Astyanax mexicanus: one gene and its partners. The main gene of each other region encodes a partner of the protein of the gene in region 3 in a complex. Links are inferred from orthologs where the notes say so. Each region holds a gene or a part of one and is shown on either strand. Other genes may lie near its edges. The genes, in order: snip1, rbm48 and snrpe.

Region 1 (10,677 bases), on a different chromosome or scaffold from region 3:
TACACCTACTCACCCAGCTTGCCATACTGCTCAACCAGGTCCATCTTAGAGAGCACATTGACATGAGGCAGTTCCACCTGGAGCATGGTGGACAGGGAGGTGCAGAGCACAGAAATGAACTTGGCTGGTTCAGCACAGTAATGGGAGTCCACCAGATGCACAGCTGACAACTAGAAACATTTTAGGGGTTACAGATGAAGGATATCAATTCACCAGAGTAGCTTAAACTATAATATAACTTTTATTACCTACCCTGAAATTCCACTTGGACAACTGGGCGAATATATTTCTGACAGAACTATGGTGGGTGTAGAGCTCCACCTGGCCTGGACAGTCGAAAAGGAAGTAGTAATCCTGATGCTCCTTAAACTTGCCTTCCAACCAGTCCAAATTAGCCTCCAGGTATTCCATACAGTAAATTAGGCCTCCATTAGGACCCAGTTTCAGACCGTCCATTACATCATCCAGGGTGACGAGCTCTGATATGTCCACTGCACATGTATAAGGCAGACCATCGTTTGCAGGGTCCATGTTTACTACTACGACCTTACGGCCCAGGTGGCTCAGGAACTCTTGCATTGCGCGGCAGTAGGTTGTTTTACCTGAGCCAGGAGGCCCAATAACCACCTGACCGAATCGCAGGGAGGGCTGCTTGGGTTGAGAAGACATGATCCAAGTTCTCCACTACACAAGAAAACATTAACCAACTGTCTATACAAATATAAGAGACTCCACAGAAAGTGTGCACTGCAATTCACTCACAGCTGATTCTACACGCCGTCTGGTTTAAAGCGTGAGACATTATAGCTACAGTTAGTAGAGAGCTAGATGCGATTTGTGTCGTTATATTAATGAGCTGGGCTTTTTAAACTAGCTAAACTAACTAACCTAGCTAACTACATTACAACCTACACCCATATAACAACCAGCCTGCTTCCAAATAACAATTACAGGCGTTTAGAGTTTGAACCCAGAAATGCAGACTTTTATTTATTATAACAAATAATTATTTAATACTTAATAATTTTAAAATAATCAATTCGAATAGCAAACCAACTAGCTAGCCTTAGGTAGCACTTGGTTAACTTAACTTACATAATAAAGAGTTACTTTATACCTCCTAAGCTAAAGCTTAAAAGGCAACTCGATCCTACCAAAATACAAACTAAACATTTTAATTAAAAATGTTTTAAATTACACAAATATGAGTTGCACTGAACAGCAAAAAAGCACGAAATAACGATACATCCCCAACGTGAGTAAACGCCGCCGACACAACAGCCGGGTCACCGTCCTGCTCCACTTCAAAACAAAAGTCCCGTAAAGCAGAAAATGCATGTACTTTTCTAATCTGTTATTTTATTCTAACAACGGTAAAGTAAACGTACTATTTAAACGGGCTGTTTTATATAAACCCTGGTGGGGGAAAAAACGACTCGGAAAAGCATGAATTCCATTTAGCAGTATACATTGTTCTTATCTCCAAACATATAGAACTTGCTATTTAAGTAAAACGGGGTAAAAAAAAAAAAAAGTTACTCTGTGAAATTTAATATAAATATACAATCAACTTATTTTTTTAAACATGTATTTTTATACATTTTTGGGAAATATATTGTTCTGAGCAATGAGTGTACAGTAAAATGGCTAATATCCAATATGTAAGTTAATGAAAAGATTTTTTAAATATATATTTTTAAAGCAATTTAGGGGGTAATTATTTTACTCAATTCCAAGAACAACTGCTGCAATTAAATGAATGAAATATAAAATAAAATTAAAAGTGACATACAGACAGTATGAACCTGAGTTAGTGGTATGTTTTAAAAATGTGTTATATGTTCAACATGTATTTTTGGAAATGTGGGGAAACCTGTTTTCCATAATATGGCAACCTGAACAGCTACAGTACAAATTCTCGCATAATTATCCTGCTGGCATTTCAACATATGTGTAAATCATGTCTATAATGTTTCAAAAAGCTTTTCTCGAAGGCAACTGTTTTAATTATACTTGGAATCAAGGCAGTTAATACCAGTTCAATATAACAAGCTGGCCAAATTCTGTAAAATATGAACTTTCACAGTTTCACCAGTAACTTGTAGCTGTATTATGTGATTGTTGGAAACCAAAATACTTTGTTAAAACATGGACAACTTACCCAAGCCGACAAGTGTCCAATAACATTTATTTTGAACTTGCTAGGACTTGGCCTTAACTGGAATTTTTATTTTCAGTTTATTTATAAAATGCATTTTACCCAAGGCAATCTTACTGTAAATACATCCATTCATTTGCATTATGATCATGTTAATTACATTACTGAGCAGCAAGAGTATTCAACTGCTTTACAGAGGGTATTAAATTTTAGCAACCAGCAATCACATTTCCATCTGCTTTCTGTAGTTTTTCTTTTTTTGTAAATAAAAACCTGAGGAACTCACACTCTTACCACAGTACATGGCCCTTCTCACAGGCTTTGAACTTTACATCACATATAAACTTTTTGTATACATAATGTATATAAACATTGTTATTTTACTATTCAAATGAATCAGAAAAAAATCATTATTGCTTGTTTTTTATTTTATTTTACCATACAAAACATCTAAAAATGCATACAGATCTGCAACCCAAAACGTTCAAGCAATGTCATCACATATGAACCAGAATACAGTCTTAAGCTGTCTTAGTTTTACAAAGCAACAATAAAGACATTTTACTGCTATGAGACTTTAAAATAAGAATGTCTACAAACTACAAACAGCTTTTGATATCAAATAAATCATAGAAACTAAAACAAGTGAAACAATGCTCACGTTGCCTACATCCAGTGTATTTACAATGAAAAAGTCTGGATGGAAACCTTTTATTGACAAATTATAATTATCCAAAATATATATTTTTAAGTCATTTGCTCTGGCACTGAACACTTGATCTGAAATTACTACAATGGGCAGTGCTAGACAATCCGAAGCTGATGCTGTTCACCTGAGAATAAGAGTTAAACACAGAAAGTTGTCAGACTGACACCAGTCAAGTTTTTACAGACCTTGTCCACAACATAATAGTAATGTCAAAATCATTAATAAAAGAACAACCCATTAAATTCTGGGTCAATCACAGCGATCTTGATCATTGATTCAGGGCTCCTTTAAAGAGTCCCACACAACAAAAGTACTTTGGTGAACTTTGAGTGGTGACTACTCATCAAGCCCTTCATCCTCCTCATCAAGCTCCTGTTTGGAATCAACTTCAGCGGTGTCTGAGAATTCATGCAGGAGCACATACTCGCGGCTGCTGAATCCAAATTTCAGCACATCTTTCTCCTTGAGCTCGTAGTACCGCTGTGATTCAATACGCTGGTTGTTCAGGTATGTTCCATTGCCTGAACCAAGGTCAATAATGTACGGCTTTACTCTCCTGCCTGTGGTACCATCAGCTCGTTTGTGCTCCACCAACCTGGAGATAACAAACAACAGGTATTACATTAATAAATCATATCACAAATTCATGAGGATTTACACGCTACTTTTGAAAAATTATACTGTATGGGACTCCAGGCTACAAAAGCCATAACAAAACAAGTTGAGCTTATCAATTTTTTTTTTTCATTATTTCTCAAAGTTTTTGTCTTTTCAAATAGCCTTTTCTTATCACATGGAATTGCAGGGGGGATGCAGGTGAGACATTAGTTAAAAAAAAAATAATTAACGAATCTGCCATAAAAGTGTTTTATTTACATTGTCTTAAAAAATAAAAATCACAATCCAATTTAAGTAATGTTTTTTTTTTCAGTTTATTGGTCAGTTAAAAAGAAAAGTTTGGACAAATGGGGTGACTTAACCGGATTTTTTAAATATTGACGTGTGTTTTAGTCAATGCGGTGCCTCCAATTTCTCAAAAAGGTAGAAAGAAAGAAAAAAGGCTGCCAATGCCAGTACAGTAAAATGAACAGGCACATACACCTATTTCTTTAAAGCATCCTTACCTGTACTGAAACACAGCATGCTGTTTTGAACAGGAGGGGTGATCAATAGGTATGTCGGCAATCTTTCTTTGTCTTCCAAGGAGATATGCACTCTGTCTGTGGATGTACATGACTGGAAGTGGCTCATCATTCTTAAAAGGGTACAGTCGCCATCTCCTCTTTGGGATTCGGGCCTCCGGTGGCTCGTTGTACTTAATAACAACTCCTCGAAATGTGTTGGTGTCTTCCACCAAAGCACCTGAGAGTTCAAAGTTGGGCTTCTCTTTCTCAACAGCAGGTCCAGACACATCATCTCCCTCTGTGCCATCAAACTCATGCATCTCATTTCCGCCCTCTGCCTCCTGCCGGAGACGGTTTTCTCTGCGACGCTCATTGTTTTGTTCCCTTTCTGCTTGCTGTTGCAGACGTGCTTCCCGTTCACGAGACCTCTCTCTCCGTCGCTCCGGCCCTCTTTGACGCTCTTCCTCCCTCCTACCCCGACGTTCATCAGGCCTATTTCCTCTTTCACGATGATCATCTTTTTCCTGAAGGAGAAAACACAGATTATGCTTAGTATGTATAAAAAAATCAGCATCACTTATCTACTCCCTAAAGCATAATTAGAAAAACAAAAAAAAATGGGTTAAATTGTGTTTCTGCAATTAGCAAACCCATGATCTAAATAAATATTATTATTATTTGCATGAAAGGCTGGAAATAAACCTGGAAAACAAGTTGCAAATAGTACATTGTTTTGATACAGATTTGGTTGCATGTTTTAGGGCTGCTTTGTGTGGTGGGACCATTAAATGCTATATATATACAAACAAAACTCATGATCTATACTGTGAGGTCATACCACCCAGTCCAATACCAAATGAATTATGATCATTCTATCTTGCAGTTTGAATCACCCGCTTTATCCGAACATCAGAACTGCGGTATGGACTGCGACTTCGCTGGCCTCGGGGGGACCTGTCCCTTTCCCTGTCCCGCTGCTGTCCTGATGATCTGTCCTTTCTTCCCGGAGATCTGTCTTTTCCTCTGTTTAAAGAAAACAAAATGTGTGGCAATAATTAGATTGTTGAGATATTGAACAACATACTTAGCAAGAAGAGACCAGGAGATTATATCTGTCCATCATAATTTATTTTACTTCTGGACAATCCTAGATATAAGGAGTGCATTATTAGTAGCATGATATGTTGGATCATTGACATCTGTTACAATCTGAAGTTACAGGTGCTACATATCATATTGTATACAAAAGTATCCCCATATAAACTGTAATATTCATTTATTGCAGTAGTTTATACTTGAAATGTTTTTAAATTACATATCTTGTCAAACCACCAATATAATTATCACAAAAATACCCCGAAATATCATGATATTATTTTACGGCCATATTACCAAACCATGCTATAAGTTACACAGGTTTGTTTATTCTGTCCACATAACCTGCTTCTTTTTCTTTTTCTCATTAGACTATTGTGTTTATCACTACTACGTTAACCGAATTTCCAACACTCCTTCTAGTGACACTAAAATATTGCTATTATTATTACTAGTTTAATTAGTATTATTACTACAAGCTACTATCATTAGCTTCAGCTACTACTGCTACTTCTACAACTACAGCTTCTACCACTATTGCTATTACTTCTACTACTACTGCTGCTTCTAGTAATTACTACTACCAGATAGATTAACAGAGAGAGAGAGGCAGACAGTGTGTGTTAAGCAGAAAGCGAGTATAGTAGAATAGAGTGTGGCTGACCGGTGGTCGTGTCTCCTCGGGGGGCTGCTGCTGCTCGCGCCGCTGGACTGTGAGCTGGAGCGGCGCGCGATCCGCGGCCTAGCGGGACTAACTTTCTCCTCTTTAATTCTGATCTTCCCGTCGCGCGCAGGGGAGTGCCGGTCTCTTTTCCTGGAGTCCATCCCGAACACAGACTGTTCTCTGTTCTCTTTATAGAGCTAAAACTGAGAATCCGCGCTTATTAAAGCTACATGCCTCACCACAAACTTCCACTGCTGCCAGATCTGCTCCCTGTCCGCTCAACAAACCAGCCCGGCCTGCCTGCGGGAACCGAAATTCAGTTCCGCCCTGTGGAAACTTTCATCGCCACCTGGTGGAGACGCTGATCCAGTTCACAAACAAAACACCACCCTCCTGCCGCTACAGTTGTTTCAAATCTGCGCAGTATCTGTAGATTTAAGGCAGATATTAAAATAATACATATAAATAATAATACATTTCCACCCACATGTGTAAATCTTCTTTTTAATAAATAATAATTTTGGCCAAATTTAATAATCATAAATAATCTCCTCAAAAATATGCAATTATTTGTGCACATCGATTTTCCATTGAATCATAATTGATTCAGCGTTATGGTTTTATACGTATGGTTTGTATTCAACTTTACTTACATTAAATACGTATTTCTTTGTTTGTAATATATTCGTATAGCCTGTACTGTGCTGTTGCAGTGTAGAAAAGTACACCTTTCACTTATTATCGGTGTGAGTGTAGATTTAGAACCCTAACCATTCAAGGCCTATGAAATGTTGTAAGGATTTTTAGTAAAATCTGTCAAAAGTGTCTAAACTGCGTTGTCAGAGCGAACCCTTATGTGCACTCCAGCCATTCATGTGTTAGTTTTAACATAAGCTGTAAATGAACGAAGAATTTGATGTTGGGACAGTTTTTACTAACAGCTGAGTGAGGCACTCTCATTTGAAAAACATATCAGGAAACAGCTCCCTCTAGGTACCGGATTTTGCTGTAACACCGGTTGTTGTTTTTTTTCTCACACGGTCTCCAGGGTTGCCATAGTAAATGTAAACAGTTCTCATACTCAATTTCCTCTGAGCTGAAACGTTACTGAAACTTTTTTTTTTTACTTAAAATTCACTTTGTAAAAATGGAACCTCCCCCCGACTCTCTGCTGAAGTATGATACTCCGGCGCTGATCACACCGACCACAGACAACAAATCACCTAGGGTAAGCTGTAAGAAACCTTTGAGTTAAGTAACGAAGTAACAAATTGGAGGTCTTGACTTTTGTTGAAAAACGACTTATATAACCTATACATTTTATCTAAAACTGTAACTTACACCCCATTTTGCTGATTTTTATTTACAGCAGAATGGTATTCTTTTACTAATACTAACTTCTACATATATATTAACACATTAACAAATACTTATATATGAATTTATTTTTTTGTTATATAATTTAGTTAAAGTTATACTCATTCATTGAATTTTACGTTTGAGTCGATGAGCTCATTCTGTTCTGTAGTAAAATAATTTCTAGAGCATTTAATATTTTTGTGATTCGGTAAAAAAAATGGAATGATGTTCATGATAATGATTTAGGTTATGAAGTTATATTTTCTTTTTTTATGCTACAAACTGAAATATGTGTATATATAGACTTAAAAGTTACATTTTTTTTATGAGGCAGCTCACAATAACAATAGCAAAGAATATAACTTTAACTGATTCTTAACTTAGTAGCTAATATTTAGATTTTGTTGGAAGGGTTTAAATAATGTTAGATCCAGTATGTTCATGTACGTTATTAATATTTCTTCTAATATTTCTGTGATGGTTAATGTAATTGTATGGATAAACATAATTTGTCACTGTTGTAGCTATTTAAGTGGTGATCTAATAGAATGACAGTAACATTCAATGGAAGTGGGAAAAGACAATTTAAAAATATATAAATATTTACTGAACCCATGCTTGAGCCTGTAAGTACATAAACTATCCCATTTATATATTTTTTTCTATCAAACAAACAACGAATCTAGGCTAGACCTTTGAAAGTGAGTCCACAGCAGCTGGTTTTATCTGGGCCCGTCCCGCCTCCACCTAAACCCAAGTCTCCCCCTGCAGAAACTGAAGAGATACTCAATGCAATTCTGCCACCAAGGTAAGATATGTCTTTCCTCTTCTGCTCTATTTCTAAAACAGCTCTTCATAATGTGTTCATGTTTAACGGTTATAAGCACCGATATTGCAGGGAATGGAAAGAGAACAACACGCGCTGGATTCAGCAGGTGTCCAGCACTCCTGCCACACGGATGGATGTGGTTCACCTGCAGGAGCAGCTGGAGCTGAAACTGCAGCAGAGACAGGCCAGAGAAAAAGGCATCTGCCCAGTGCGCAGTGAGCTCTACTCACAGTGCTTTGGTGAGTTTACAAAACAGCAGCCAGAGGAATTTTTAATACAGTACACGTGTTACTAGACACTGATAGCACTGTATACTGGCATGCCAGATGTCATGGGACATAGGGTTTGTATTGTGTCTTTTTCCATGCCCCATGGATACTAAAGAACGCTGCTCTGAGGTGCAGTATATACATATGGGGTCTAATGCATTTAATATGGATATGGATGCTTATCTGTTCATTAAGGCAATTCTAGCCAGATGCTGCCAATCACAATCATTACCAAGCACTGCGCTGTTCATTGAAGGTGGTAATGATAGTGACTGGAGGCATCTGGCTAGAATTGGCTAGTAATTCTGTCTGATATTTCTTCACTAGTGATACTTTGGATCAAATGAATGCTATATGGGCGCATAACTTTAAAAATGGAGTTTCCCATCCATTTGGCACCAACTATCAGGCCTCGCTCAGACAACTTATTCACAACCATCTTATGTAGTTTTTGTGGTGAATTTTTAGAAGCTTTAAACACTTAAGACATCTGCTTCCAATCATAACTTACTGTATCTTAATGAATGAAATGTAGACAATTTCATTTACCCTACAATTGGCCACTTTTTTGAAAGCATTGCTTTGCTTGTGGCATTGTACTTTACTAGCAGAAAGTGAGGAATGATTTATGATCTATATTATTCAATGTTTTTCTTTAATCACTTTAGGGCCATAGGTTCACAATCTTGTGAAATACACAATAGCAAGACATGTAAACACACAGCTCATTTAAAAACATATTATTTGTCCTTTAGATGAGTTAATCAGGCAGATTAGCATCAACTGTCCTGAGAGGGGGTTGCTACTTCTACGAGTGCGAGATGAGATACGTATGACCAACACAGTCTATCAGACCCTGCATGCTAGCGGTATGACCTTTGGCATAAAGAAGGCCCTACAGGCTGAGCAAGAGCCTTCAGGCAAGCAGAGAGTAAGTACATCAGTCTGCCTTTCTCATATATTTTTTATTTTATTTGAAATGCCTTAGTCTGAGACTATGTACTATGTATATCTTATCTGTAAACAAAATCGTAACTGAGCTGTACTTTAAGATTGCAGACTTAGAGAACAAGAATAAGGATCTGGAAAGGCAGGTAAATGAGCAGAAGGCTAAATGTGAAGAAATCGAGAGGCAAGAAGCTGAGCGGCGACAGGTTGAAGAGAAACAGCACACGGCACAGGTCCAGCTTCTCAAGCGCACCAACCAGCAACTAAAGGTACATCCATGACAATCAGTCAGCTTCTTATGCTGTCTTAGTATGACACTGAAATGTACAGTTCCTAAAAGTATTCACTCCTTTGGATGGTTTTCATTTTTATTCTTACTTAAATGAGGAAAACACATAGTCAAAGGGAAAAGTAATTTCCACACAGTGATGTAAATTAAATGAAAAAGCAATGTGAATAGAATGTAAAAGTAGTCTCTTACTTGCCATACTCGTTACGTTTTATGATGACAAATTTAACCGAAGTTTAAGGGTTGTTTAATGATGTAATTTGTATCCATCTCCCGAGTCCTCACTTGTTAACCTTTTTTCTACGAAATGTTATTTTGTCTTGATGTTATATTTGTAGCCAGGAATACTAATTTATAAGTGACTGGACTTTACAAACAGGTATATATATATTAGTTTAAACGTTCACTGCATTCAAGTCATCTCCATTCCACCAATTCTAAAATTAATAACATCTACTGATTGCACCTCTGTTAAATTAGGTACAGTAGTTTTAAAGGGGTCAGTATTTATACAGTCACTTATTTTACAGTATATGGTTTTATTTAACCGACTATCTTGTATTGTATAAACTAACATTTATATTGACAATATATACATTATACTTGTGTATACTAGCAAAAGAGGGGAAAAACATGGAGGTGAATACTTTGTATAAGCACTAATTTTTTTTTATTTTTTATTTTTTTAGGCCCATCTGGAAGAAATCATCACCCCCCAAAAAGGAAAATCATCAGCAATCAGCGAATAATCATATTTGATCCCAGCATATTAATAAAGTTTGACATGTACACATCTGTATAGTTTATTAATGATTTCACTCATCCTTAAGAACACCCAGAGTTTGAATATTGTTGAACAACAACATTTTCTTAAGGCACAAATACTCAGGTAATCAGTGACCACAGATCAAAATTGTAGGTGTAGTGACTCAGAACCATCATTTATATGTGGGTGGAAGGATGATGTTTTGAATAAAGTGCATCTGTAAGTGGCAATTTAATCACAGATTAATCAAACCCTCACAGTAAATGCTCTTCATACACATCTTTCAACATCCCAACCCAATGTCCGAGAACATAACCAAGTCCATAACTAAGACATGCGTTAGAGCAGACGGCCCTATCGCTTCGCTCTTTTGCCTTTACTGCCTTCCGTGGGCATTTTCCGGTTCTTGTTTTTGTTCTTGACGTTGTGTGTGTCATAATAGCGATTCCCGATCTTCTTCACTTTTT
Region 2 (10,677 bases), on a different chromosome or scaffold from region 3:
CATTAACTAGCTAATTTAGGTAAACTTGTTTAGCTCAGTCCCTGGAATATCTAACAGACTAGATATTTGGCGTGAAACCTTTTTTCTAGTCACAATAACTCTACTATGCTACTAATTCCTGATTTACTGAGGTTTGTGAAGCTGCACTGTTGTGTGGAAAAGCTACATAAACTACATAACTACATAAAGCAAGTCAGCTAGCTGTAGGTTCATGAGTCTAGCTGAATGTTATTTATTTCCAGTTTGGAGACAGTGGAGACATCATATATTGAGAACATCAAGGCTAATATATAAGGGGGATCCATCCTCCTTTGGTCAGACAACCTTTAACCTCTTGAAACCCAGTGTCAGTTAAATATTTTTACAGCCAGTCCAGACAGAAATTGCATTTTTTTTTTTTTTTTTTTGCAATTTTACTTTTAAAACTAGTTTATTTACTTAATGTTGAAAGCAAAAAAATGTTTTTAGCCTATGCTTCCTTCTAATCCCAACTGGCAATGGATCATTTTTAATTGTAAAATAAAATAGTAAATTACTTCCCTTACAAAGACAAAGTTTTTCTACTGGTTAGGTCCTACTAATCCCAAATAGCTAGGAGAAATTAAAACTGCACACAGTTTCAAAGTTTCAGTCTTTAAACATTTACATAATAACAATGTAATAAATAATACCTAATGTATTCAGGTGAATAGCCGCACCAGCAGAAGTGGTTACAACAATTCTTAGTTAAAGTTCATATAAATTTTGATGTAATCAGTAGTGAAAAAAGTGAGCAACTAGTCCAAGATCGTTGGCATAAACTGGGCCATGGGCAGCTGATCTGTGGTGGGTGACTGGATTCATGAAGAACAAGCAACATGCAACATTTTCATAGTGTGGTTCCGGCCAATCTGAATATAACAGCCTAACTAAAGGGAGAGAGCCAGAAGGTAACAGACACGGAGGCACCCAAAAAACAGTGGCATCCACCCACTTCACCAATTTTCTTCATGTCCAAGTACAGCTCTAAAACCAAGGAGTCGCACATTTGAATTAGGTAAAATTGTATGTGTTTACTTCAGGAATGGACATTATTCATTTTCTGAAGAGTGAGAACCCTGTAAACTCTTCTTTGCATTTCAGTCAGAGAAAAATGTCCTATTTTGTCTATTAGTATATAAAAGCCTACACCTGTAGCAGCTCTAATTCTTCCATAAAACAGAACCAAGCCTTCTTACCCAGCAGTTTTAATGACAACATAAACGTATAATACATTCCTTTTCTAGCCAGATACTGCAGGTCACGATCATTATTACATTAATGTAATAATGTAACACTTTATCAACAATTTACATTCTGCTACCTCATGACTTTTGACATGTCAGTGTATATACAGCCTATACCCATACAATCCTAAGGTCTCTAATTAACAATTTAAACAACAATGAGCCCAAAAAGAGATATGTACTATTTCAATGACCTCTTATCTGTGTACCAATTCATGCTGATTATTTTAATATGACCTGTAAGATGTTCTGATTGCAGTTCTGTACATTATTCTCTACTTAAATCTTTTTTTAATACTGCTCATGGTTTGTCCAACTCTGCCATTATCTGAAAGTCAATAAGTATAACCAGAACAATCCTCTTACTCTAGTTAATAAAACAGAGGCAGAGTGCCTCATTCGACTCTTTAATGAGTTGCTGGAAGGGCAGACAGAGAAGAGAGCAGGGCTTGGTCTGGACCGGGGAAAATTCAGAAACATCCTACACAACACGTTTGGACTGACAGACGACATGATTATGGACAGAGGTAAGGGAACTATTTCTATATGTAAAGGCTAGAACTTGTAGAAGTCAATATCACATCTCTAAAGCCAACATTTCTCCAACCCACACAGTCTTCCGGTCCTTCGACAGCGACAATGACAGCTATATCAGTGTAAAGGAGTGGGTGGAAGGACTGTCAGTCTTCCTTCGAGGCACCTTGGATGAAAAGATCAAATGTAAGACTGAGCTGAACAGATTGTGTGATGAAGATAATTCTCAGATCACTGTTCTTAATCCATGCTCATTTCTCTAAAACGATCAGACTGTTTTGAGGTGTACGACCTTAATGGAGATGGCTACATATCGAGGGAGGAAATGTTCCACATGTTGAAGAACAGTCTGATCAGACAGCCGACTGAAGAAGAACCTGATGAAGGGATTAAGGACCTTGTGGAAATAATACTAAAGAAAATGGTGAGACCACAGCTGGGGAGATAGTTGAGCACAGTCAGTCAAAAATATAACAGATACACTAAAAATGATTTCTGTTTTCGGCATTCAGGATTATGACCATGACAGCAGACTTTCATATAGTGATTTTGAGAAGTCTGTAAGAGAGGAAAATCTGCTATTAGAAGCTTTCGGAACTTGTCTTCCTGATGCAAAGGTAAAATTGTTAAATTTTACGTTTTGCAATGTTCTGCATGAGTGTCATTATTGTTTTAATAATTTAATATTCTTACTATACCATCCATCTTACTGTAATAATACTTAAAATGACAGTTGTCTGTCTTCAGATTTTTTTTATTTTGACATTTATAGAAAAATACAATTTAATAAATAAATGTGTATTTTTGTTTGTTTTCAGAGGACCCTGGAATTTGAGCAACATGCTTTCCAGTAACAAGTGAATCACTCATATAAAGAAAAATGAACAGTGCTATTTTACAATAAACCACTATTACAGTACATCAATAAAAAATGCACACTGAAGACAAGAGAAAATTATATTCTTCGCCGTGCTTTTACAGCTGTTGTCTTCTTTTCAGATGGAACTGATGCAACCTAAAAAGAAAAAGAGAGACAATTTCAGACATACGTTTTAACTATTCTATAACATTCATAACAGTAAAAAAAAATACTTATAATGCTGACCTTTGACATTGTTTGCCTGATGATGTTTGCCGTTTTGTTTAATGATGCATCTTCCATGTCCATCTTTGGTAGTTCTGGTAGTTTGGGTCCATACAAGGGGGCATTTCTGTCTGCCACACCTAACAAGTCTGTACTGTCCTCCATTTTCCTTTTCCTGTTTTCTAATTGTGCAGTCCTTGGTATAAACCTTGGTGCAGTGCTTGGCGGATGTTTGGGTTTTTTGATAATACTTCTCTCTTCGTTGCCAAAGGTAGAACCAGAAGGCAGGTCTGACCACTGTGTGGTCTGCTTGCAATCATCTGGGGCACGGTTACTAGGGATGAAGTTGTGTAAAGATCCCATTCTATCTTCTGTAGGTACACTGCCTTCATGTACAGTCTTCACAGACTTAAATGAGTCCTTAGATGAAAAATAGTGCTGATGAACTCTTTCATGAGGTGGTAGCGGCAATAATGGAAAGCTAGAAGATGTGCTGGAACTACAATTGTCCTCTTGGGAACTTCGAGGACATGTCCTATCTTCATACACTGATGATGGAGCTGGTGTCTCTGAACTGGCAGGAGTTGTTTTCTCTGTAGCCTGTTCTTGCTCACATTCCCTTTCTGTAATAAAGGTGCAGTACAACCAGACAAACTGGTTAATTACATGGATTGCAGAAACAAAAATGTGTGTGATGCAAGCGTACAAAATACCTAATCTTTGGGTTGTTCTGTAAACATATCTTCTCCTGTCCTGTAACTTCCTTCTTGTGTCTTCCACAGTCTCATGTTCAGGGGCATAGCAAACATGAAGCAGACCCCCATAGAAGCTTCTTTCATCTGTTTTTCTTTTGGCAGCCCTGAAACAGACAAAATTACTCAGCTATCAACAGATCTTGGGATATCTTAAAATGTGCTTGAAAACATGCATGATACATCTTAAGAGGCATGTCTTAACCAAGGAGGACATGTGTATACAATGTCCATTTGATAACATCTTAAGAGGCATGTCTAAACCAAGGAGAGTGTGTCAATAGAACGGTCATACTACTTCGAAATACTATCCTATCTATGATGTATAATGGGGATGTGTTTTTTAAATTTTATTTTAATATGGTTTGGCATATGGTTTAATGGCAACATTCAATGAAACTATTTAGCCTAAGTAAAATACATGCACATTACAGGGTTTAAGAAAAATGCTAAATTATTCTTATTTTAAATAAAACACAAGTGACAATTTTAATCTAACCATGCTATCTACTGTATGATTTACATCTTTCCATGTTTGAGGTTTTATTCTCACCTTGCACTTGTAAGCTTTTGGAACTTGATAAGATAAACTTCAGTGAACTGTTCTGCAGGATACTCATCCAGTACTCTGTATTCTTCCACCACTCCATAGAGAGCAAAGAGCTGCACCAGCTCAGTCATTACCCCAACAGCAGGCACTCCTTGCACCAGCAGAAACCGAGACTCTAGGTTAATCGTATAAACCTACAGATTGACAAAGCAGAAGATACAGGATACAGTCAGGATTAAGCCGAGCCGTAGACTGTTTTGCTTTATTGTGGAACATTTCCATTCACAAATATATGCGGCCCAAGATTAGACTTCTTTGTCTGGGAAACTGTCCCTATATATACACCTCTGGAAAAAAATTGAGACCACTTCAGTTTCTGAATCAGTTTCTCCGATTTTGCTATTTATAGTTATATGTTTGAGTAAAATGAACATTAGTGTTTTATTCTATAAACTATAATTCCAAATAATACTGTCATGTAAAGCATTTATTTGCAGAAAATGAGAAATGGCTGAAATAACAAAAAAGAAGCAGAGCTTTCAGACCTCAAATAATGCAAAGAAAACAAGTTCATATTCATAAAGTTTTAAGAGTTCAGAAATCAATATTTGTTTCTCTGATTACTTCTGATTAATTCTACGTGTCCCTTAATTGTTTTGATCTATATTAATTTAGAATGTAGAAAAGACAAATAAATAAACGAATAAAGAAAAAACATTGAATGAGAAGGTTTGTTTAAACGTTTTACTGGTACTGTAGCTATATAATTCAGTATACAGATAATATATACTTCATTATATATTATGTATTGTCTATCTTTCTGTTAACTAACTATAGATTTGGGGAGATTCAGTGATGACAGGGAGGCTCGTGTAGCCAAACAGCTAACTTAAGCTAGGCTAGCAGTCTAAACACTGGGGCTGTAGGCCCGTTATTCTCCTCTCAGTACGGAGTTTCAGTAAAAACAGCTCACTGACCTTCACAGCCTTCAGTCTCCTCCCTTCTCTGTACTTCGGGCGGGTGAGACAGGCGCTCTGCTGCTCGTGGTGTTTGTAGACCTGCGGTGTGTCCCACACAGAGCCCGGCTTCAGAGCCGCCATGATGATTACCCAGCGTCCCCGACAACAGCGCAGAACTAAACACAGACCCAGACCCGAATAATCAATCACAGATAGTGATCCACGTTCAGCGAGAAACACATACTGAAATAAACTGTAATCATGTAATAAAAAATGTTAAATAAAAATTTTAATAAATACAAAAATAGACAATAGTATATATTTTTGTACTAAAATATAGTACAATATATATAATATCGTATCATGAGAAATCGAGGATGTATCATCATTACTTAAAGAACACTGACCCAATCATACATTTTATTACAGAGAGTGATTTAATTAATAATCACTGTACAAAACATTGTGAAAGAGCATTTAATAGCAGAATATGCTACTGCTGATACATTTAAATAAATACTAAATACTGTCTGAATACTGTGCATTGTGAAAATGTCTTTAAATATTGTGTAAAATATTTATCAGTGTGTGAATATGTACAGCATGGGTGGAAACCCAAATTTATACTTTTCATATTGATATCAGAATTGTAGCGTGTCAACCAAAATTAAGAAATATATTTTGTGATGTATGTTTCCCACACTTTTGCCTTAAATATATTCTGAATGTTTCTGTATTCTGAATGTGCAGAGAGACATTTAAAACTATCATTACCTAGATAATCATTGTTTTAATGACAAAAACCTATTAAATCATGTAATATACATGCTAATGCATTTGTGAAATGGTAAGAAAAAAAATCTATTTTAACCTTTAATATTTTTAATAATTTAAATGTCCTACATGTATGAATATTTTATTAACAATATAAACATATACCCTTTCAATTTTATTTGTATTATTTTTATGATAAAAATATAAATGTATAAATAAAAAATATTTAATGTATAAAAAAATATAAAAATGTAAACATATATTTTTAATATTTATTATTTGTGTGGGCAGATTGATCTTTTAAACTATATCACCTTCATGTCACATTCATTTTCTAATGACAGGACCTGTTAAATTCTGTAAGATACATGCTAACACATTTTTAAAAATGATATTTAATTTAAAAATCTTTAAATGTAACATTTTTAGTTCATTTAAATATACATATACCTTCCCTAATTTATTTTGATTATTTGTGACCATTTAAAAACAATATTTCAAATATAAATAAATATTAAAATGTGAAAATATGTTTAAATGTTTATTATTTGTTAGGGCATACTGAGCTTCATATACATTGTAGTGATGATCGCACGCTGGTGGATGGATTGGTCAGGTCTGTCTGACAGTATTGACATGTTCAGCATGGCGCCTGATCCTCTGTAGTGCAGCAGGTCCTGAACACTAGTGCTGATTTATACAGTCTTTCAGCGCTAAAAGAGGCTTTAAAGCTCCTCTTTATGCAATGTTGGGGAACTGCGGAATCCAGCCAGTAACTCTGGCCTTCAACAACTCCAAAAACTGCTTTCTCCACCTGCCATCCAACTTAGTGTCTCAGCTCTCCCTCAGAGAGGTGTGTGTGAGAGTGGGTGTGTGATAGTATGGCTACGCTGCTCCTGCTTTATTAACTTGGGGTGCAGTCTAGTCTAGTCTAACTGTCCTGTTTTTATTGTCATATGCAGTCACAGGCCCTGGAGCTGTCCTGGGGATCATCTGCTCCAGTGTTCCTCAGCTGGATAAGAAGCCACGCAGCAGGTCAGGAGGACAGGGTTGAGCTGAACAGACAGTTAGGGGAGAAACTGGGAGTTCAGGAAGGAGAACAGGTAAACTCTGGAGTTGGATAAATGTCTGTATTACAGTTAACTGTAATTTAAGTTGATGTGATTTGCTTTTTATTTTGTTTTTTTATTTTTGTTTTTGATGTTTTTCAGGGCTTCCTGCGTCCATGTAGTCAGGTACAGTCTGTGCAGCAGGTGTTTGTAGAGCCTCTGTCCTCAGATGACTGGGAGATCCTGGTGAGTCTCATTCACCAAATAAAAAAACACTGCCCACCCACACTAAAAACTGATAGGCTGACTCTTAGAATAGGAGAGTAGGTTAATCAGAACCATCTCTGTTTTGTATTCACTCTGGCAGCTTCTATATGTAAAGGTGTACGATCTTCATTGTCCCATTTTGAAAATTTAATTAAACAGTAAGATTCAGTTAATCAAATTAATTGGATTAACTTCCCAGGTTGGGACCAAGTTTTAGTTTAAGGGTGCTTTTATTGCTTACTAAACTGCTGTGTGAAACCAAAACTAACCGGACCCAATGTACAAAATGTAACAAAGGCACAAACCTCAGTGCAGACTCTGGTCCAAACTTTTAGGTGTGAAAACACCCCAAGATTTAATTACAACTTAGTTACATGTTTAAGTTGAATACAACTTTTTAGACTGTTTTTTCTTTGCTGTTATGTATCTGTATATTCTATAAATTCCACTGTTGCACTGATGCACTATGCTTGCACAGGGTAGCATACAGTACAACAGGTCAGAACATATTTAAAAATAAGTCACTGCTGTAACCATATTGGTTTGCTCACTTCATGTTTTTTTGTTTTGACATGTTCCCTTTTTCTTACACACCTAAACCAAAAGGAACAACACGTTTTGGATAATGTTATAAAGTAAAAAAGTTAGATATTAAAGTTTACTTTTAGTGGAGTTAAAATTAAAATTATTCAGCCATGTTTATATACACACATAACAAAAAAATACTTATATACAGCAACTAATTACATTTACTTCATTACTGCCCTTTACTGATGACACCTAATGCCTTTGTTTTCCAGGAGCTTCACAGCACAGCTCTGGAACAGCACCTTTTAGACCAGATTCGAGTCGTTTTCTGTTCTGGGGTGTTTCCTGTGTGGGTTGACCAACACACTGTCATCTACATCAGGATAGGTCTGTTTCAAACACTTTTTATTAAATACTTCTTTAAAATCCTCAGTTCTGTCTGTAAATTGCTGTACCTCTTGTTCTTGTAGTCTCCCTGTCTCCATCTGTTCCGTATGGTCGATTAGAGCAGTTCACTGAGCTGGTTGTTTCCCCCAAACTCCGGCATGGAGGCAGGCAGCTTGCCCCAGTTTCTCCAGATACAAAGAACCCGGTCTTGCAGAGGCAGCAGAACATAGACCGTGGATCCTCCTCCACACCTTCCTCCACAGGAACTGATTCTTTCTCTGAGTCCATTCACAATCAGCCGGAGCCCAGTCAGAGACACTGGGCTGGAGTACCTGACCTGCAGAGCCTGGTGAGATATGTGTTCACAGGGAAATATGAGCCCGCCAAGGAGATTCCAGAAGTGCCCACTGTCCCCGCAGTCTTCCCAGATTGTGTCCTGAGAGTGTGTGGAACCCCACCCGGAGCAATCAGACATCTTGACCCAAATCATGGAGATGTTCACATGCTGCCATGGGACCAAATACAGTATGACTATTGGAGTACACAACAGCCAGTGTTAACGTATGGTAGAGTTTCTAAAATTCATTCTCCCAAAGAAGTGAGAGAGCAAGCCAAGCAAGCGATGGAGAAGAAAAAGAGTGGAAATAGCTCTCAACCTAAAAAGGAAGCACAGGAACCAGTGGAGGAGTCTGTGGTGGTCAAGATCCTTTGCCATAACACAGAAAAGCTGGAAGCAGACCAAAGATCCTCAGGAATGAGAGAGATTTACTGTGGGAAGGTGTGGGTAAGTGTTATACACTGATACACTTTACTTTTCTAGAATTAGTCTAAAACATTTGTTATAAAAACCTAATCTTAAGTATCTAATGAAAAACATTTATCCCCGTGTGCCTTGTCAAAAATTCTGGATGAATGGGCCAATAGAAATTTCCCAAAATTAGCTGAAATAAACTTTTTTTTTTGTTTTTACATTTACGTCCATTGAAAGAAATTTTTTATTTTTCCCATTTAAGTTGTTGTTTTTATGATATATGTTTTTTTATTGGACAGCAATTGGACTTGTGTACTAGGAAAGTAACAGTGCACATGTTTTTAGATTTCATATGACATAGGGCTGGGCAATATGTTGTGATTTTATTTATTCTAAATTATTTTTGGAAATTATACATAATCATAATCTTTATAATATCACAACTGCTACATAAGTTACCTTTTTTGTTAAATTTCAAAAAAGATTGTGGGATCCTTTGTGTGGAAATCATTTGGTACTCTGTAGATACATTGCAATTAAAGAAGCAGCATAACAACTTTATTTGACCACAAATCAGTGCAATGATGAATAAATAAAAATGTAAAAAATAATACATTTATTTTTTTATTCTATTCTCTTCACAGATCCCAAACATTTTACGATCAAGGCTGAGCATAGGCCTGCATTCTGCCGTGAGAGTTCGTCCTCTAACGTGCACCCCTGCAGTTGCACAGGCTGTCTTACTTCAGCCACTACGAACACTAGTAAGTGTATCTTTCTCTCTTAACTTGAAATATCAGACAAACGCAGTTCATTTATAATAAACTGTTAATAGTCGGACTAATAGCTGAATCAGAGTAGAACACGTGCGTGTAAACGTGTAAAGGTCATTCTGAATGCAATTTCTATTTGATTGAACGAGGTGGATAATCCTTTAAATAATCCATTAAATAGAACAAAAAATAGCCTTGTAAACACATGTACCCGATTAGATCTCCAGTCCGAAAGTAAATATTGCGCATGTACATGTGCTGCACGAAGGAAGTTTATAAAGCTGAACATCACTCCTCACTTTTATCCACTGCTTCCTAGTCATGGGCGGTGGGACTGGCATCCAGCTCACTTGCCTCAGAATGTTCAAAGACATTGAGGACGTAAGTTCTTCGTCTCTACCCTTCTTTAAAAAGAAACTGTGAATTAGGTTGTTATGGAGTCCGCCATAATTTTAACGCTGTTAGAAAAAACAAGCTTACCAGCTGCAAATTCTGGAAACATAACTAGTTATCCAGTTACTGTTGCTCCCCTCACGCTGGCTGGCATCACGTGCGGCCCGTTGTCCTTGTCATGGTTACGTGTACACTAAGCGATACTACACATGTGCGTCATGTTTGATTGGATTACTTGTAGCGTGCACATAATTTATTCAGATAGGAGAAAAGCTTTGCATGTAAACATAGCCAGTGTTATATGTGTTTATATATATTTTTTCCTGAGGTAGAACCAGTTAGTCCGTTCTCAGTTGACCTCTCTCATCAGCAAGAGATTCTGTCTGCAAAACTGCAGCTCACATGATGTTATTTTTTTATTACACCACTCAGGGTCAACTCCGGGAACTGCTTAAAATCACTGAGATAACATTTCTTCCCCATTCTGATGATTAATGTAAACATTTCCTGAAGCTGCTGACTTGTATCCACCTGCTGTTTTGTGAATGCTTTGCACTGATTAGATCACTGCGTGAATAAGCAGATGTATATCTCTGCCTGATGAATTGCTA
Region 3 (10,677 bases):
TAAACTTTCTTATAATGTTTTCTGTTAGCTGGGTTAATGCCTTTTTTTTTTTTTTTTTTAGAAACTGTGGATATTAACAGGTGCTATATCTTTGCTTTGTTTTATTACCTGTCTCTATTCTTCTTGGTTTGGCTGCTTTTTACTAGATAATCAGAGATTGCTGTGAGGATTTGACTGCATAAAGCCACTGGAACAGATATGAGGTTAGGTAGGCTACTGATGGTGGGCATTTAATTCTGGATCTGGATTTTAAACCTCACTCCAGAAAACTGCTCCATCATTCAGTTCTGGAAGTTGATGCATGGTACTGGGCATGGTGAGCCTCAGTTTTCTTTTGTCGCTGTTCAATGCAAAACAAGCATCTTGATTTTGTTCATTTTTACACTGTGTCAAATTGTCTTGATAAGTGGACCAATAAAAACTCTCAAAAAGACATGAAACAGTCTTTTTTTTTTTACATTGACTTTCACTAAAAGGGAAGAATGTATGCAACCAAACCCAGTAATCAACAATCAGCATCGGGTTCACCAAAGAAACTGAATTAATTAATTTAAAGGAGGGTCTGAATAGTTTTGTCTAAATGTTGACAGTGTGGAAAATCCATGGGTAAAAACGTTTGTGGACATACTGCCCTCTTGTGTCTCATTTTTGCACGCACACACACACACACACACACACACACACACACACACACACACACACACACACACACACACACACACACACAGAGTTTACTAGTCCCAGTAGAGAGTACTGGAGCTCCAATAAAAGAGGACTGGCACCACCATGGGACAGTATAAAGCAACTGCACATGAGAGTTATTTGATTCCAAAACCTCATGGAATCAAATGGGATGCAAATTTTGAGTTATAGTTACTTAATTTTTAAGCTTGCACTGCAAAAAATAAAACAGTTGGCAAAAACTAGACAAATATATGTAAATTGAGATGTATGTTATATGTTTATAAAAAGCAAAACAATCTGTCAGCGGGGTAAACACATTGTTCTGTATGTTTTCTTAAAATAAGCAATCTCATTATGAATAAAGTAAGATCCAAATAAAGAAAAAAAATCAGTTTTTTTTTTTGCTTAAATTTAGACGCAAAAATAAAACTAGACAGGTAACTTTTTGTGCTGAATTTGATTCAAGTTAATTTAAACAATATGAAAATTCTAAGTAAGAGTGATTCAAATGGCTCATTAATCCTTAAATAAGCAAAATAATCAAATACATCTAATACAGATTTTTTGAAACTAGATTTAATTTTTTGCGGTGTGGCACACTTTTTGGACCCCCACACTTTCAGCCACTCTGGATTTGTTGAGGTTTGTGTTTTTTGCCTAGTAAAAATATACAATGACCAGAGCATCCAGACTGCCGCAGATCAGATTGTAGGCACATTGCTAACCACCTTTAAATGTGGCTTGGATTCGAGCCTATTAATAAAAAACAATCTGAAAACTATTAAAGTACCAGTCATAAGGTTGAACACAACTTAAATGTAATGTTTTTACATTATTTTAAAATGCATTGTAGATTATAAACGTCATCCAAACTGAAAAACATATTATTTAGTAAAGAAAATTGTGTTAAACAAACCAGAATATATTTTAGATTCAAAGCACCTGAGTGACTGCTTTAAAAATATTTGTTTTAATTACTTAATCTTTAAGTTAATAACTTACATTTCTTGCCTCCTAATGTGTGTGAGAGCATCAGTTGAGTTGTGAAGAGGTAGGACAAGGGAGGAAGAGTGCAAAGACACACAGTCCAAGCTGCTTGAGGTCTAGTGTGAAGTTTCTACCATCAGTGATGGTTTGGAGAGACATGTCATCTGCTGGTGTTGAGCCTCTGTATTACAGTGGTTCTTGAAAGTTTATGAACCCTTTTCAATAGACGCACTCCTCTACACACAGTTCATAAAGGTTTTGATAATCATTTGGTGAACTGGATTAGGCATCAAAAGAGGAAACATTTATAACAGTGTATTACTTTGTGTCCTTTGCAGGGGTTGAACAACAAAACTGGTTTTAGAGCACAATAATTTATTGTGGTGACGGACAGTTCTGGTGCTAACAAGAGAGTTAAGGTGCACATTGAATTCTGCCGTGATTTTATGTTTTTTGGATACAATCCGGTTTGCACCTGAACATCCCTTTCAGACAGCTTCCTCTAACAGCGTCCACAGTTAATCCTGTTGGATGTGGTTGGTCCTTCTTGATGGTACGCTGACATTACCCTGGATACCGTGGCTCTTCATGCATCACAAAGACTTGCTGTCTTAGTCACAGATGCTCCAGCAAGACGTGCACCAACAATTTGTCCTCTTTTGAACTTCGTATGTCTCCCACAATGTTGTGTGCATTGCAATATTTTGAGCAGAACTGTGCTCTTACCCTGCTAATTGAACCTTCACACTCTGCTCTTACTGGTGCAATGTGCAATTAATGAAGATTGGCCACCAGGCTGCTCCAATTTAGCCACGAAACCTCCCACACTAAAATGAGAGGTGTTTCAGTTTCATTGTCCAACCCCCGTTTGTCCAGCAAACAAATACTGTGCACTGTAAGACTTATCACTGATCACTGTATGGATGTGTAAGCAAAGGTTCCCATCCTGAAAAACTAGCAATTAGACAATTCCTAATTCATAACTTTTAAATGTTTGGACCCACCTCTACTCATACTGTGTGTTTTCTTTTCTTTAATGTTTAATTGTAAATTTAGAATTGAAGACTATATTAAAGCTATACAGGATCACATGCAGCATTATTGAAGCTTTTCGTAAACAAAGTGTTAAACCATAATATGTTTTATACTTTAGATTATTTTAAATACCACATTTATCTTTGAGGACAGATCTGCACACTCTTGGTATTTTATCTCATAAGGTAAAGTGACTTGGAATAGTTTTCTCTTCGGGACCTTGCAGGAGTTCCTGGAGGTGCTGAACAGTAGTTGCGGCTTTTTCTTCACACTGTGAAGCTCCAGCTCCTCCCAATTAAATCACCTCAAATCACCATCTCAGTTCATCAGATTTAGATCAGGGGATTAATGTGGAGGACGTACACTTTTTTTTTTTTACTACATAATTCCACATGTATCCTTTACTTTTTTTGTGTCTTTAATATTAATCTACAATGTAGAAAACAAATTCAATAAAAAAAAAAACATAAAATGAGAAAGTGTCCAAACTTTTGATTGGTGCTCAATACCACATGAAGGTTTTAAAAGTTTTCCTACAAACATATTTGAATTTTAAATAAAAATCCTTATGTACAAAGAAACAAAAAAAAGTCTTTAATTTGTTTTTATAGAAAAAACATCACTCATCACGAGCACTGCTAAGGTACAAGGAGTCAACATGCTCACAAAAAAAATCATCCCTATCCCCCCCCAAAAGGAAAAATCACATACATGAAAACAAAAATATTCCAAATAAAATTCCATCATCCTGATGAACCTGAACGGCTAATTTGACACACTCTGCAGAAGCGTGATGTTGTCTCCTTTCAACATGATCCTCCCTGTTGGAGAAAAAAAAAAAAAAAAACGTTTCAGTACACCTGCCAGACATGATTCAAACCATGGGAAAAATTGAAAGATGTCCAACACTTCACTGGGGGTAGAAATCACAGAGAATATCAACACAATATTATCATGATATAATAAAATACCCCTAAATAAGCAAATCACAAAAAATTACAGAATTATTGGTGTCAGTTTCACAGAATTTCACAACCAATATTCTTTACTGCAGGTTCACCCTATTCATTTGATTAGTGCCACATGGAGTAACTTTAGTAAGTGAAATTGGGGGGCACTTTTTGGTTGTTTCAAACACAGTGCTGTACATAGATAATTATATAACAAAAACAAACACTAAAACAATAAGACAAAAAAAATAAAAGTAAACATAAAAAACAATTAAGACAGAAAAAATCCTAACCAAACGGAAGCAAAATCTTACTTTAGGTTAAAAGCCAAAGAATTAAAATGAGCTTTTAGACTAGTTTTAAAACGGACTGTGAAGAGGCCTGCCTAATGTGTAAAAGTATGTTGTTCCATAACTTGGAAGCAGCAATCTAAAAGTCTCTGTCCCCTTTAAGATATTGACCATGGCACCTCTAAGAGCAGCTGATCAGCTGACCTGAGGCATCATGCAGGAACGTGAGGATGGAGTAACTCAACAAAGTAAGGTGGGGTGAATCCATTTAAAGATTAAAAAAAAATAATAATAAAAGAATCAGTTTGAATTACAGGCAGCTAGTGGAGGGAGGGCAGAATGGGAGTTATTCACTCTCCCTTCCATGATCCTGTTAAAATTAGGGCAGCAGCATGTTGCACTAACTGGAGGCGTTTGAGGGAGGACTGACTGACCCCAAAATAAAGTACATTACAGTAATCCAGCTGCGATGTAATGAAGGCATTAGTTATTGTATGAAAATGCTCCTGTGTAAGAACTGACTTCACCTCTGCCAGCTGCTTCAAATTAAAGAAAGAAAAAAAAACTGGACCCCACAACTGCACTATTTTAAAATAACTGTCCATCTTAAACAAAGTTAGACATTGTTAGCTTCATAAATAGTGCCAAATACATTGACATAGTCCTATCCCTACTCCTTACCCAGAGTCTTTCTGTTCTTGGTCTTCATGTGGACTTCTTCTGCATCATCCAGAACCAAGTTCATGTACTCATCAAACCCCTACAGCAGAAGATAAAAACAGAAATAGCACTGATAAAATAACATCATTAAAACAAACATACAACAGAGGCCATTAACGAATCCAATACACCCCCCAAAAAATACATTTCACAGGTTAAATACAAACAGACATTAGTCTGTACTGAAAGCTATACATACACACTCTAGTCACATCTGTTCCTCTGCATACATTATTAGCATCCATTCATCCTGTTCTTCAATAGTCAGAAGCCAACAGGACCACCTTAGAGCAAGACACTTGACTGGATATATTTCTAGTTGGTGGAATACTCTAACGCCAGCAATGACACAGAGGTGTTTAAAAACTCCAGCAGCACTGCTGTGTCGGATCTACTTGTACCAACACCAGCAGAACACATACCAACATCCCAAACACATTTGTTATGCTAAACCACAGTCACTGCAGTGCTGAAAATAAATGACCCACCACTGAAATGTGGTGGCCTTGAGGGGTCCTGAGTTTTGAAGAACAGGGTAAAATAAGGATAATAATAAAGTATGCAGAAACAGATGCAGAACTACAGTCTGTACTTATAGAACTACAAATTGCTCTTACTTGCTGGGTGGAACTGATAAGATACACAAAGCAAACAAGGAGAAAACATTACATAGTCTATTTGGTCAGGTGGGCTTAAGGAGCTTTCACATCGCCATCGGTATGCCACATTGCTTTCTGCTTTGCTGGAAGCTAGCCAATTGTGGTTGTGTTGTGCTACTGCTGATGCCAAGGGTTGCCTGATGATAACAGGCCAGTGTTTTTAAAAATGAGTCACATCTACAAGTGTTTTGATGTGTGGTGTAGCTACAGCATCTGTAGACACACATCTGTCTTAACGTCAGAAAAAAAGCATTGATTCTTATCTTTTTCCTGATATTTTTATATGAGTGTAACTAACTGTATTAATCGTCAATATTACTCACTTGCCCATGTTTGGACTACAATGCATTTTCTGCTGTGGTAAGCAGTAGCATGGCAAAGGTATGGTTATGGGTGTGAAAACGCAACGCATTCCACAGTGGTCTTCATCAGCGCCAAACTGTCCTGGTGCTGGGGAAACAACTAACCCATGAGGGTCAGCCTATAGCGGTGTGGCTACTGCTTGCAATGCGAAAGCATGTTATTGCAAAGTACAAATATAGTGTTCTCTGATTAGTTAGGTCAGTAAATAATTACTTACAATAATGCAGCCTTCTATCCGCATGTTGACCTGCTCATAGAGCCAAACCGAGATACGAGATCGCTGCAGAAAAGAGGACAAAAAGATTATTAACAACAGCACAAACTTAGAACCACAATTGTGATACACAATATAACCATTAAATACGGTGCAGTCATAAAATGAGAATAAATTGTCTGCACTTTATTTTATTATTCACATTGTTATCTTATTGTGTACCCACATACAAGACCATTAATAATAACCATAAAAAAGCTGCACTTACATTCTGTAGATACCTGAAAATCAGATTCTGTAGACAGAAGTCAAGGACAAACAACTAGCACAGGCAAAAATCACAATTTAGCAAAGCCATTCTCATTAAATATCGAACTAGTCCACCTGATTATTTCCACACACACACTGCTCTACAACATTTAATACCACAACATATTCTAATTTATTATATGCTATACTATTTATATGCATTTTACTGCATGACCTATGCAAATTACCTTTTGGAATTTACATATGTATATTATATCGCCATTTAACAATTGATCCGTATTGCTCAGCCCCATTGCCTAGATTAGCTTGGTAAGTTTTATCTTGCTTGTAGTCCAACTAGCTAAACTATCAAACTCAAACAAGAACCTGCCCTATGCTCAAAATTACGGATAGATGGATGGATATACAGATAGATAAATATACAGATAAATAGACAGATATACACATAAATAGATATACAGATATGCAGATATACAGATAGAAATACATATATATATGAGTACAGCCCCAACACTAACCCCGTAACTTATATGTAACTAATGTTAGCAGAGTTATTGAATCAGTGCACTCTTTATAAACTCCCCCAAACACATTCTATCTGCAGTAATTTAACCCACCGCGAGTAATATAGCAGTTAGAGTAGTCCGATATAATAAGATAAGCTAGATAGGTTATCTAACGCAGGTAACATTACAGAAGTGAGTAGAGGCTAAGCTAGAGCTAGCGCTAAAGCTAAAGCTAAATGAATGGAGTGGAGCTCCAGCAGTGAATCAGTTTCAGTAGTAAAGGATACGATGGGCTGCACCATCACCTTCTGCACCTTCTGGCCCTGTCCTCTGTACGCCATGCTGCTGATCCGCGGGGCTGGAGCTGCTGCTGTAATATAAATATTATAACTGTAATAACTGGAGAATACAACTCGCCGGGGAACGATCTCCTCACGTTGGTGTAGCAGCGATGGCGGGGGGAAGCGCGGAGAGAGCTGCCTGGGGCTGATTTTTACTACAGCGCCGCGCAGCGACCAGGAGGACTAACCACACAGAGACCGGCCCTGAGACGCTGCCTGCGCTCAGAAACTACTACCTTTACTACCGCTTCTCTCTTTGTTCTTTTTGATTTTACAAACACAGTTCAAACTAAGAAAAGAAGAGGGATTCATATAAAATTGAACTTAAAATTATCTATGGATTTATGACATTTTTTTTTTCTGAGAGCTCTGTTGTGCGACGCGTGATTTATATTCACCAATAGTGATGGGCAGATGAAGCCTCATTGGGTGTATGGCACATTTCCCAAACTGTATCGACACTGTGTTGAAACTGTGTTGCTGTATCACTTAATGGCGACATCTGCTGGACTAAGAAAGTCATTGCAAGCAACTGCGCGAAGAAATGCATCGGTCACATGGTTTTCCTTAAAATGATACGCGGTCTGACACAGGGGTTCGCCTTGTTTGCTCGGTGCATGCGCTGAAGTTTCAGTGTCGTCAGACCCATCGCTACCAAACGATACAGTAAGTGTATCGGTCACGTGGTTTTCCTTAACTTGATACGCGCACCGACACGGGGTTTCGCCTTGACAGCTCGGCGCATGTGTCGAGGTTTCAGGGTCGTCAGACCCATCACTAGTGTTAGCAGACTGTGTTTGCTTATTGTTGTGACTTGAAAATCAGTACACATTTATTGTCCAATTTATGCAGAAATCCAATTAATAGTTTTTTTTTTGTGTGTGTGTGTATATATATATATATATATATATATATATATATATATATATATATATATATATATATTATAGACTATATGTTGCTCTATCACTTAAAATCGCAATAAAATACAACTACATTACAAATACAATTTTGTGTTGTAAGGTGGCAAAATGTGAAAATGTTAAAAGATATTTTCTTATTCTAAATATTGCAGTTATTTTATATTTAAAATAACAAGCTATGTTTTTTATGTAAATACATAAAACGTGTAACTTAGTTAATGTAATAAAACTTGATACATAAAAATAAACACAGACATACGTGGAAAGATGACATGAGCTCAACAACTGCTTGCGTCTGCACTGTTTTGTGCACGCGGTGTGACGCAGTGCGCATGTCAGTTGTTGGCCAGTGTGTTGTTATTTGGAAGGCGCTCCGAGGTGAGAAACGCTACGATATACAGACAATTTAAGCGAATTAACGGTTAAAAGCCACCGTATATGAGCACGGTTCTGTTGGGGACAGATTTGCGATGTTAACTAGGGCGGTATTTGATTAAATAATGCAAAAGTTCATTTAATATTGACGCTGAGATGCTGCTAAGATAACTGTTAGCTTGCTAAACTAAGATAAGCTAGTTGTCTATTATGCTGAATTAAGACCAGCATAGCTAAGCTAGGTTTGGTAGATTAGCTGACTGGCTAACGTTAATGCAACGTTACATTGCTGAGCTAAAATACAGTTCTTATTAATTTGGGTAAAGGGAGTTACAAGGCTGCTTTATTAGAGTTTAAATCTAGTTAACTAGCAAATATTCTAGGTTATTGTAAGATAGCTATATGCTGGGTTGGGTTATGTGGTTTAACGCAGCTTTCCTAGCTAGCTAACGTTAGCTAAGCTACTAACTATTATTAGCTTACAATACCCAGTGCAACATTATTATAAATGAAGCTAAAGCATTACAAGCAGGTTAACAGTATGTAGCAAAATTTGGATACACTTTTAGGGGTTTGCCAAGCTGTTGCATCAGTTTTAGCACAGTCAGCTACTTACCTACCTGACTGTCTGTTTTAGGCAGGCAGCTACCTCACCGACTGTTTGTGGACAATTACAACCAGGTGTCTTTTGTTTATTTCCCTTTTGTTTGGTTCTGAGGCAGTGGTCAGCAGCTTGGTTTATTTAGGTCCCCAAAATCACACTATATCCTTTCAGGAATTAAATTATTTACTCAGGAATGCCTTAACCAAAGGTGTCAAAAGTATTCACATTCATTATTCAGGTTGAGGTATAGATATAGTGGTTTAAAAATACTTTTGTAGAAGTTAAAGTAACAACTCAAGTTTTTTACTCAAGGAAAAGTGTAAAAGTACTTGTTTCAAAGGATCATATAGTGCACTACCTATTCAAATAGCAGCTTTATTGTGATCTGATGAAGCATGTGTGAGAAATCCATTGCGAAAACACCCACAAAAATAGGTGCTCCTTAAAAGGTAAAATTGTTATTAAAACATGGTCAAATTTACGCATATATTTCAATTTTGTTCATATTTACGTCTGAAAGGAGGCAAGGTCTAGGATCTCCTGTAAATAACGATATCTGACATTGTGATTCGTCTTTTATAAATTTTTCGTAATATTTTAAAGAAGGATCACGTTTTCTTTATTTGTGAACTGACAGTTTAACCAGTTGTGAACACGACAACAAAGATGTCCAAGAAGCCAAAGCAAGTAAAAGTAATACTACATCTTTGAGTTTGTTTGTTCCGAAGCAGAACTGAAGGGACTCAGGATGCTGCGACTGAGGTGCAAGGCCAAGAATGGAACCCATCTGATGCAAGGCCTCACGCACCAGTCCTGTGTCCAAGAGCTGAAAACCAAGGTAGAGGAGCTAACTGGAATTCCATGCGACGTTCAGAAGATCATGGTGGGCTACCCACCATCCAGCTTGGATCTTCGCAATGGAGATGCTCACCTAAAAGACTACCCTATAAAATCAGGTGAGGTTTTTATTTTGTTGATTTTTAAACATGAATTGACTTTACCCAGTAGGGCTGTGCAATATAACCAGAAAAAAAAAATCCATATTCATATCTAAATATCATATATATTTGGATATTCTGATATTCTGATAATTTATATTATGATGTAGCACAATTTTTGTTAATTCAGTGAATTTTCTATAAATATTTATTTCATAAAATAACATATAACTATGTATTTATATTTTTTCTTTAACAAGCAGGAAGAAGCGGGAAGGTTGCAGGATGTTTTTCACTTACTATTTGGCAATGTTAGTAAAGTATACACTTTGAAAAATTGGGACAGACACAACAAAAAAAGCACACTAATTTGGGGTTAAACTGTATGGAGCTCTGTTGTGGCTCGTTAGGAGTTTAGGAAAACTTAAAACGATATTTGCATGAGCACTCATCAAAGCTTCTAACGTGCATTAACATGCATAAGCCTGTTTGGGGAGCATTGGCTAAAAACGCTGTATTTTGCAATGCTGGTCGTCACGTTTCAAGTCCATTTCACACCGAATTGCATAGTTTTTGGTATTTGTTCACATTGCTACCTATATCTTTGGTTATTGGAAAGAACATTTACAAAAATGTTTTTTTTGTCTCCCCGCTTTCCCTTCATAACCTCTCTTACAGGAGACACTCTGATTGTAGAAGAAGAAAAGAACAAACCAAAAGTCCAGACTAATGCTGCTCTAACAAAAGTCCCATGCCTAAATTCTTCTCCTGTTCTGGAGCGCCGAGTGGTTCCTGCTGACAACTCCTGCCTCTTTACG

The links.
Region 1: snrpe (region 3) and snip1 share a complex: the UniProt entries of both Homo sapiens proteins name them as parts of the minor spliceosome. The link is inferred for Astyanax mexicanus from reciprocal best matches to the Homo sapiens genes SNRPE and SNIP1.
Region 2: snrpe (region 3) and rbm48 share a complex: the UniProt entries of both Homo sapiens proteins name them as parts of the minor spliceosome. The link is inferred for Astyanax mexicanus from reciprocal best matches to the Homo sapiens genes SNRPE and RBM48.

Annotation. Positions count from the first base shown.
Region 1 is NC_064413.1:32,223,093-32,233,769, reverse strand, and holds snip1 (smad nuclear-interacting protein 1), read right to left. Parts: upstream 6,058-10,677; 5' UTR 5,912-6,057; coding exon 5,751-5,911; intron 5,015-5,750; coding exon 4,885-5,014; intron 4,516-4,884; coding exon 3,992-4,515; intron 3,463-3,991; coding exon 3,204-3,462; 3' UTR 2,558-3,203; downstream 1-2,557. Other genes in the region: gpn2 (GPN-loop GTPase 2), read right to left, coding at 14-170, 253-669; dnali1 (axonemal dynein light intermediate polypeptide 1), read left to right, coding at 6,898-6,978, 7,796-7,917, 8,008-8,177, 8,963-9,138, 9,260-9,424, 10,134-10,193; gnl2 (nucleolar GTP-binding protein 2), read right to left, coding at 10,565-10,677. UniProt on the Homo sapiens protein: Required for pre-mRNA splicing as component of the spliceosome. As a component of the minor spliceosome, involved in the splicing of U12-type introns in pre-mRNAs. Down-regulates NF-kappa-B signaling by competing with RELA for CREBBP/EP300 binding.
Region 2 is NC_064410.1:48,089,464-48,100,140, reverse strand, and holds rbm48 (RNA-binding protein 48), read right to left. Parts: upstream 5,320-10,677; 5' UTR 5,286-5,319; coding exon 5,163-5,285; intron 4,380-5,162; coding exon 4,189-4,379; intron 3,743-4,188; coding exon 3,597-3,742; intron 3,507-3,596; coding exon 2,905-3,506; intron 2,815-2,904; coding exon 2,755-2,814; 3' UTR 2,654-2,754; coding exon of another isoform or gene 2,618-2,653; 3' UTR 2,582-2,617; downstream 1-2,581. Other genes in the region: efcab1 (calaxin), read left to right, coding at 1,637-1,792, 1,881-1,985, 2,072-2,223, 2,312-2,416, 2,618-2,653; pex1 (peroxisome biogenesis factor 1), read left to right, coding at 6,664-6,771, 6,881-7,021, 7,130-7,213, 8,035-8,149, 8,233-8,933, 9,545-9,664. UniProt on the Homo sapiens protein: As a component of the minor spliceosome, involved in the splicing of U12-type introns in pre-mRNAs.
Region 3 is NC_064431.1:7,023,138-7,033,814, forward strand, and holds snrpe (small nuclear ribonucleoprotein E), read right to left. Parts: upstream 7,162-10,677; 5' UTR 7,020-7,161; coding exon 6,966-7,019; intron 6,198-6,965; coding exon 6,171-6,197; intron 5,969-6,170; coding exon 5,906-5,968; intron 4,707-5,905; coding exon 4,628-4,706; intron 3,528-4,627; coding exon 3,472-3,527; 3' UTR 3,273-3,471; downstream 1-3,272. Other genes in the region: yod1 (ubiquitin thioesterase OTU1), read left to right, coding at 8,215-8,320, 9,650-9,877, 10,538-10,677. UniProt on the Homo sapiens protein: Plays a role in pre-mRNA splicing as a core component of the spliceosomal U1, U2, U4 and U5 small nuclear ribonucleoproteins (snRNPs), the building blocks of the spliceosome.